Linked DNA regions of Oryza sativa Japonica Group. Each later gene encodes a partner of the first gene's protein in a complex. Links are inferred from orthologs where the notes say so. Each region holds a gene or a part of one and is shown on either strand. Other genes may lie near its edges.

Region 1 (4,438 bases):
AAACTTATATTAACTACACATCTTGGCGAAGTTTTTTTAATACAATCTCAATATTCCACACCAGTGAAACTTAGATTCCCACAGGGGGGGACTGGCAAATTATGCAAATTCAGGAATCATAAACAACTTTATTAATTGATATAACTGCAAAACTTGAGGGGGCACATACTCGAAGGTAGCACTGATCGCCACACGGTCTCTTGTTTTCATCAAGTTCATGACCATATGGTTGCTTCTCGCTCTGGTAAGCAAAAGGTTAGTAGTTAGCGGTATTTTTTTAATTTCACTTTGGACCAAATGGCAGGACAACAGCCTCCATTCATTGATAGGATGAGCAAAGTAGAAAGATCAAAACTTTACAAGAGTCCAACAGGAAATAACTTATGACTTACAGGGAATACCAAGTTCTGGGAGCACCCATGGAGACGGCAATCAAAAACCTGAATAAATAGATATCAACAAGTAATTCAGACCTTGCGAATGTAGTTGAACAAAGGGGTTTAAAACATGGAATTCAAAAAAGAACTGTAAGCAACAGAATGCCAGAAGTATAATATACCAAACATCTCCGACAGAAGAGATTATCAAAAGAATCTAAAGCCACATCCATGGTCTTGTCAAGAAAAAGTTGCAAATCTGTCTTGTAAGAAGATTGAGACTGCTTCTCATATTTCTCAAAAAGAACTTCTGATCTTTCCTAGTATTTTGATCGGAATAAGAGTCATGATCACATTGTAGGATAATAAAAAACAGCTGCAGAGTTAAAAAAAATAGTAATGACGAACTAAAATGTTCATAAAAGAGAAATGGGCAACCTCAATTTCTGAAGGAGTTGCATCAACAAACTGGCAGAGGACATTTAAAACCTCTCGACTTAACCCATGATCTTGAGTAGCTTTCCTGTATAGTTAAGCAAGATCAGATAGACATAAATTTACATATAAAAATGTTTATTTATTCTGAAGGTAGCGGATAGTATTGGGATGATTACCGATTTTTACCAGTATAATTTATAATAGAAATTGTTATTCTGATTATATTGTGTAAAAGGTAAATAAAAGAAGGGTGCCCTTGGGTTACAGATTATTGTCACAACTGGAAGTGTAAAGTCAAACCAGCCAGTATTTCACCAATAATGCATTGGTTAAATTAAAATGGCATCCGTTGATCCATCCTAAAAAGATGATTTAATACAACACATTACCTTCCACCTACATTTCAGAATTAACAGGGTACATGAAGGTTGGAAGCTCTTAGAGTATGCACGATCCTTAAGGTAGAAAACAGGTGGATTAATCATGCAGACTGAGTAAAACAACTGCACAGCGCAACTAACTTTGCACGGATGGTTTGTTATGTTAATGTAAGTTCATGGCTCTGGGCCTTCTTCCATGTTTAACTTAGATCTGAATCATTTTATTGAAAAGAAAATGCAACAGAAAGATATCATGATTGGGAAAAATCACAGCATATTCAATGAAAAAAAAAGAGAGAATTCTTGAATGTCCAGGTTTTTACCATATTAGCTGATCTTCTCCTTCTGTGAAAACATGTTTCTCTTCCTCTGGCTCTGGAACATCATCGTCACTTTCACTGCAGATCAGAGCCTCATTGACAATTGGGTCGTAGTAAATTCTCCTCCTACCAACTGACTGATCATCGGCCATTCTTTGGTTTCTGCGCTGTGTTGTTTAAACCAGAGTAAAATATCGAATACAACAGGGATCAAGTATTCTTTGTTACACCAATGCAGCACGTATATGAGAAAATAAATACCACTTTGGAATTAATCAAGCAAATAAACTGAAGATAAGTAGCATGACACATCGTTCAAGTAGCTGAATCTTTTCAAACTGACCATCATCCTAACACAAACTAGTGCTCTCGCTCATCAGCAAACATAAAAACACATGAACACCACTACCTGAGTGTAATGTTTGAGCTAACACTTATATTCCAAATATTTCTACTAGTCCCAAGTTTGCAATATCTGTCTGAAAATGTTGTCTGGTTTCTATGGCTTGTATGGGTAAATAGTTCAATTTTGCTTCATGCATCATAAGTGAATTTTGAGTAGTATATTTTCCACAATATCATATCTAGGTGCATTACATGGCATACCCTACTTTTTATTTAAGAAGTATTACATGGCAATATACCAACTTCTCCTGAACTCTTGTAAAACTTAAACTGCAAGTTCAAGAACCTAGCGACAAGTGATCTGATTGGAACAATGAGCGTGTAGAAGCATTATACTTGTCCAGGAAGATCCACGTGGTGTAGGGCGGAATCTTGTCGACCACAGGCAGCTTCACAAGCTGCACGACGGTCCTATGCGAGGCGCCGCTACCACCAGAGCTCGAGAGCACGAGCGTCCCGGCGACCAGATTCTCCTCCTGCACATGCACCAACTCCCTCTCCCCCGGCCCGCTCGCCGAGTCCCACCCCACGAACCTGCGGTGCCCCTCCGCCGCGCCCCGCGACAGCGCGTTGCCGCCCTCGGCGCCCCGCGACGCCACCTCCGCCGCCGCGGCGACGTCGAACAGAGCGCACGTGTGCACCTGCAGCGCCTTCCTGTTCGCCTCCACCCTCTCCTGCTCAAAAACCACAAACCAAACCAATCCACGCCAGATTGAGCAAAATCCAACCGACTACTCACACTTCCCCCTGCGAGCTGAAACTGTAGAGATGCGTGATCGGCGGGCGGGCGCTTGCCTTGATCGCGGCGAGGCGGGTGGATTGGACCTGACGCTTCAGCTGCGCCAGCTTCCCGTGCAGCGCGACGAGGCCGGCCGCGTCCTTGCCCGACGGCCCTTGATCCGGCCGCTGCACAGCGAGGCCGATCAGATTGGGGAAGGAGATCGGAGTGGGGAATCGGGCGCGGGGAGTCGAGACTGAGGCGAGGGCGCGCACCTTGGGGCGTTGGGAAGAGGAATCGGAGGCCTTGGACGAGGACGACGCCATGGCGGTGCGGGTGCGGTGGCGCGAGCGGCGCCAGCGTCCGGAGCTCTGCTTCCCCCACACGCGGAGGGTTTTTTTTTTCTGATTTTTCTCTCTCCTTCGGGGCTAAGAGACAAAGGATGGAAAGGGTTTCTCTCTCTACCTAATACTGCCGACGCCACGTATTCCTACCCCCTCCCCCTTCCCAATCTGTTTCCAATCGGATGAGACCCCGCCGGCGCCGCCTCCTCCCGCTATCCGCCGCGCCGCTCTTCGCCGGCGCCCTCCGCCTCATCGCGCTTTCCTTCACACTGCGCTACCTCGACCAGATCCTCGCCGTGTCCCTCGCCTCCGTACACTACCCTCTCGACCCCCGCCCCGGAAACCTCAGCTCCCTCCTCCTCCGACCTCCGCTACGCGTCCCTCCCTCCCACCCACCTCCTCCGCCGCCCCGATCGCTTTCTCCGCTGCCGCCTTCTCTTCCGCTTGCCTCGACTACTTCTCCTTCGCCTTCGCCGCCACCTCGCTCATTGCTCTCATGGCGGCGGCGTGTCGTCTCCAACCGACTCCGCAGCCCGCGCGCGGCGCGCTGCACGCGCGGGTTACGCCGCCGACACGTTCGTGGCGTCCGCATTGGCCAAGCTGTAGCCTGTACGCTTCATGCTGTCCAGAGGTGACCACGCACGCAAGGTGTTCGACACTGTGCAGTCGCCGGATACCGTTATGTGGAACACGCTGATGGCCGGCCGGGCTTCCTGGTTCGGAGGCCCTGGAGTCGTTCGTGAGGATGGCGAGTGCAGAGTCTGTTCGGTCTGACACAACCACGCTGGCAACGGTCTTACCAGCAACAGATATAACAATGGGGAATTGGGGAGGATGCCTCTTGCAGAGAAGAGAGGGTTGGCGGAGTATGAGCATGTTCTGAAGAGAGGGTTGGCGGAGTATGAGCATGTTCTGACCGGTTGATCTCGGTGTATACAGCGGGGATGTGGAATTCTGCATGGCGTCTCTTTGACTTGATGGAGAATCCAGATTTGGTTGCCTACAATGCTTAATCTATGTTTGCTCGGCGAATTGCATGGTTGGTTCATCAGTTAATCTGTTTATTGGGTTGATGGCCTTGGAATTGAAGCCAAACTCGAGCACTGGCACTGATCCCGTATAGTCTGTTTGGGAATGAACTGCTTGATCAATGCTTACATGGTCCTCTCAAGTCTGGATTTACTGCGAATTCTCCAGTGTCGACAGCAATTACCATATTGTACTGTAGGTTAAATGATATGGAGTCTGCAAGGAAGGCCTTCAATGCGATGCCATAGAAGACCACGGAATCGGAATCATGGAAAGCAATAATACCAGGGTATGCCTAGAATGGCTGGACGGAGATGGCAATTGCCCTCTTTGAGCAAATGCTGGTACTTAGCGTGTGACCAAATCCAATCATCATTTCTAGCTCTCTTTCAGCGTGTGCACAGCTTGGAGCTTTGTCCCTGGGAAA
Region 2 (3,078 bases), about 14 Mb from region 1:
GATCACGTGGAATTTATATATAGGACTATATATAAGCTGTGGCTCATAACATCACTACGTCTAAAACAAATTTGTTTTTAATTAAAACAGTTGTGCTCAACTGAACTGAACAGTGTATACAGTTGCAAAATAAATCTTTGGAAGTAACTTATACTATTATGGATTTATCAATGCAATCAATGAGATACAAGCTGAATATCCAACACACGCAATTCGTCAATACTTCATGAAATGGAGCAGATCTAAACTAATCGCCTGTGCACCATGTAGTTGGCACAGAAGATATAGTTGAGAGCTTAATTACTCAGGCACCAAGCTAATCCCAATTCCCAACAAAAGTTTTTTTTTGGAAGAACTTCTGCATGCAACTCCAGTACAGTTATATCCTAACAAACCAATACACGAAATTGATCTGACGGGTGAAGTTAAATCAAAGACCAACCCAACCCGTTTCAGAAAAGGATTAATTTTTTTTTGACCAACCCAATCTAGCACGTTTAAATCCCTACGTTGAAGCAATGCTAAAATCCCTAAGCATGAAGTCATATACAACCCCCGTGGCCTCAGCATAGCGTCATAGCATAAATTGAGGGATACAACACAAAGAAATGACAACGGCAATGACAGACGGGTTGCTAACTGGTATGTATTACGACTGACATTCTGTTTGTAAACTGCCAACCAGGCCAACAACTTACAACAAAGGAGGGTACCTAAAGTCACACAGTTAAGGTTTTATTTTGTTCATTTTTGGTTTTCCTACCGGAGGTTTTCAGGGAGCCTTGGCCGGGTCATCAGTCGGCACATCATCCTCGTCATGGTAGATGTTCTCTGCCATTTGCCATATCTGAAGGATGTTGTCCTCAGCGACGCTAGCAATCACCCAGTCCTCGCACGGGTTCCAGGAGAAGTCGGAGATCTTGCTTGTATGGCCTCCATGAATGAACAGGAGCTCCGGAGGACCATCTTCCGCATCCTCCGGTGTCTGTTCCTGGTCAATCCTGTAAAACACAAGGCGTCAATCAGAAAACGAATTTTACATGGCTGGCACATGGTACTAAAAGTAGAAAGCCAATGAACAGATACAAGGTGGAGTGTAAGATCAAGATAAGGTGTAACATCAACAATTCTACACAAAAGATGGTGACATACTACATGTGTCCCAAAATAAACAAATATAATATAGGATGTGACATCCTAGTGCAGAAGTACACTTGGGACAGAGGCGTCAAGTATTCCCAAGCATAGTTACAAAGTTCCCAGGTCAATGGGATACTACTTGCCAGAGGATTTTACAAGGTGGGGACGAAAATGTCCCCACATTCCCAGGAAAGGGACAGCGTTCCCAGGTCGAGGAATGCTGCCACCGAGTCCATTTCCTGTGACTATGAATCCCAAGGAAGTAGTTATGAACAGTATCACTTATACCATTGAAATGTGAGCCATGCTCACTATCGTTCCCAATCCAGAAGAAAACCCAGGACTATGCAATCTCCAAAAAATTGTGCACCAGAGGATGTGAAAAATACCAACCGCATTGGAAAATTTCTTGAAAGCTGAGACTTTTACCTGCTTAAATCCCAGACCATTAACCTTCTGCCAAGACAACAAGATGCAAGTATAGTCTCATTCTTTGGGCTCCATCCAACTTGAAATACTTCCTCCCTGATTATGAAATATTTACAAGTTTAAAACCAGTAATGATAACAAAAGGCAAAGCATGAACAACAAAGTGAAACAGGTGCGCTATACTTTGATAAAAGTTATTTTGGCAGGTAAAGAGGAAGCAGTGTTAAACAAAAAAGTTACTCCCTCCGTTTCACAATGTAAGTCATTCTAGCATTTCCCACATTCATATTGATGTTAATGAATCTAGATAGATATATATCTCTAGATTCATTAACATCAATATGAATGTGGGGAATGCTAGAATGACTTACATTGTGAAACGGAGGGAGTATTAACATTGGATTACTGGAAATTTACTTGTGGCAATCAAAGGTGTGTAGGGAAGTATCAATCTTCCGAAGATCAAATAGTTTCACGGTCTTGTCAGTTGAACCAGTTGCAACAACCCATTCATTGAAGGGGTTGAAAGCCAGACAATTCACCTACAAAAGACAATACATTAAAAAGAAGGAACTAATTTGCACCATTTTTAGGGAGCCATGTGCTTAAAGTATTTATTATTAAGAAACACAAATGAAGTATATGATGTCCTCTATGCAACCATACATGCTGAGATAAATGCCAAAAAGAACTTTTGCAAGTTGTATTTGAATTTTTTTAAGTCAATATATATATGTAGTTTTGTCATGTTAGATTGACACAAAAGTATATCTGTGCATATATATAATTCTAAATTTAAACGCTTTCTATAAATCACATTAGAATAGTGCCCACTACCCGCAACACCAGAGCCAAACTGCTATCAATCCACTATCCACTGTTGACCACTAAGATGACAATAGACATGCAAATACAGTAAACACAGGTTCCTTTCTCTCTTTCTTTTTTTTGGAAAACAGAAATAAAAAAAAGGGCTCATCCAGAATACTATACGGAGAGAACACTAAGCAATGTGCGTACAACAAAACATCCTGCAAATACAAATAGGTAAAGACTAGAAAGCATCAGAGTGCAACTATGAGAGATAAGGCACGTTTAAAAAAAAAACTGAACAGGACTGTTTTGGACAACACAGAGGTCAACATGAAAATCAAAATGAGATCTGATTTTGTCTGAAAACAACATTGAAGACAGAATGTAGAATGATCAAAACATTGAAGCCAAAAATACTCAGTTTTGCACCAGTAATTCATAATCATGCTCACTTAACGAGCAAGAACAAATAAACAGACCACACAAATTGCTAACCATGACATAATAACATTCCTCTCGTAGTGCCAACAGACGTCACATAAAAATGGAGACTTAAGGCTCAAAAGGATACTTACCTCACCCTGGTGTGCCGCCACAGACTGTACAGGCTTAGTAGACACAGGAGAACGTAAATCCCAAATTAGCAAATTGTGATCATCACCAACTGAGCCAAACAAGTATTCATGCCTCAAATGC

Evidence for each region.
Region 2: histone-lysine N-methyltransferase EZ1 (region 1) and histone-binding protein MSI1 homolog share a complex: the UniProt entries of both Arabidopsis thaliana proteins name them as parts of the plant homeodomain / polycomb repressive complex. The link is inferred for Oryza sativa Japonica Group from reciprocal best matches to the Arabidopsis thaliana genes SWN and MSI1.

The regions. Positions count from the first base shown.
Region 1 is NC_089037.1:11,010,076-11,014,513, forward strand, and holds the start of histone-lysine N-methyltransferase EZ1, read right to left. Parts: upstream 3,023-4,438; 5' UTR 2,965-3,022; coding exon 2,914-2,964; intron 2,827-2,913; coding exon 2,716-2,826; intron 2,595-2,715; coding exon 2,257-2,594; intron 1,683-2,256; exon of another isoform or gene 1,678-1,682; coding exon 1,519-1,677; intron 901-1,518; coding exon 816-900; intron 698-815; coding exon 560-697; intron 441-559; coding exon 393-440; intron 242-392; coding exon 170-241; intron 1-169. UniProt on the Arabidopsis thaliana protein: Polycomb group (PcG) protein. Catalytic subunit of some PcG multiprotein complex, which methylates 'Lys-27' of histone H3, leading to transcriptional repression of the affected target genes, mainly abscisic acid (ABA) responsive elements.
Region 2 is NC_089037.1:25,484,437-25,487,514, forward strand, and holds the end of histone-binding protein MSI1 homolog, read right to left. Parts: coding exon 2,958-3,078; intron 2,112-2,957; coding exon 1,987-2,111; intron 1,666-1,986; coding exon 1,570-1,665; intron 1,002-1,569; coding exon 773-1,001; 3' UTR 613-772; downstream 1-612. UniProt on the Arabidopsis thaliana protein: Core histone-binding subunit that may target chromatin assembly factors, chromatin remodeling factors and histone deacetylases to their histone substrates in a manner that is regulated by nucleosomal DNA.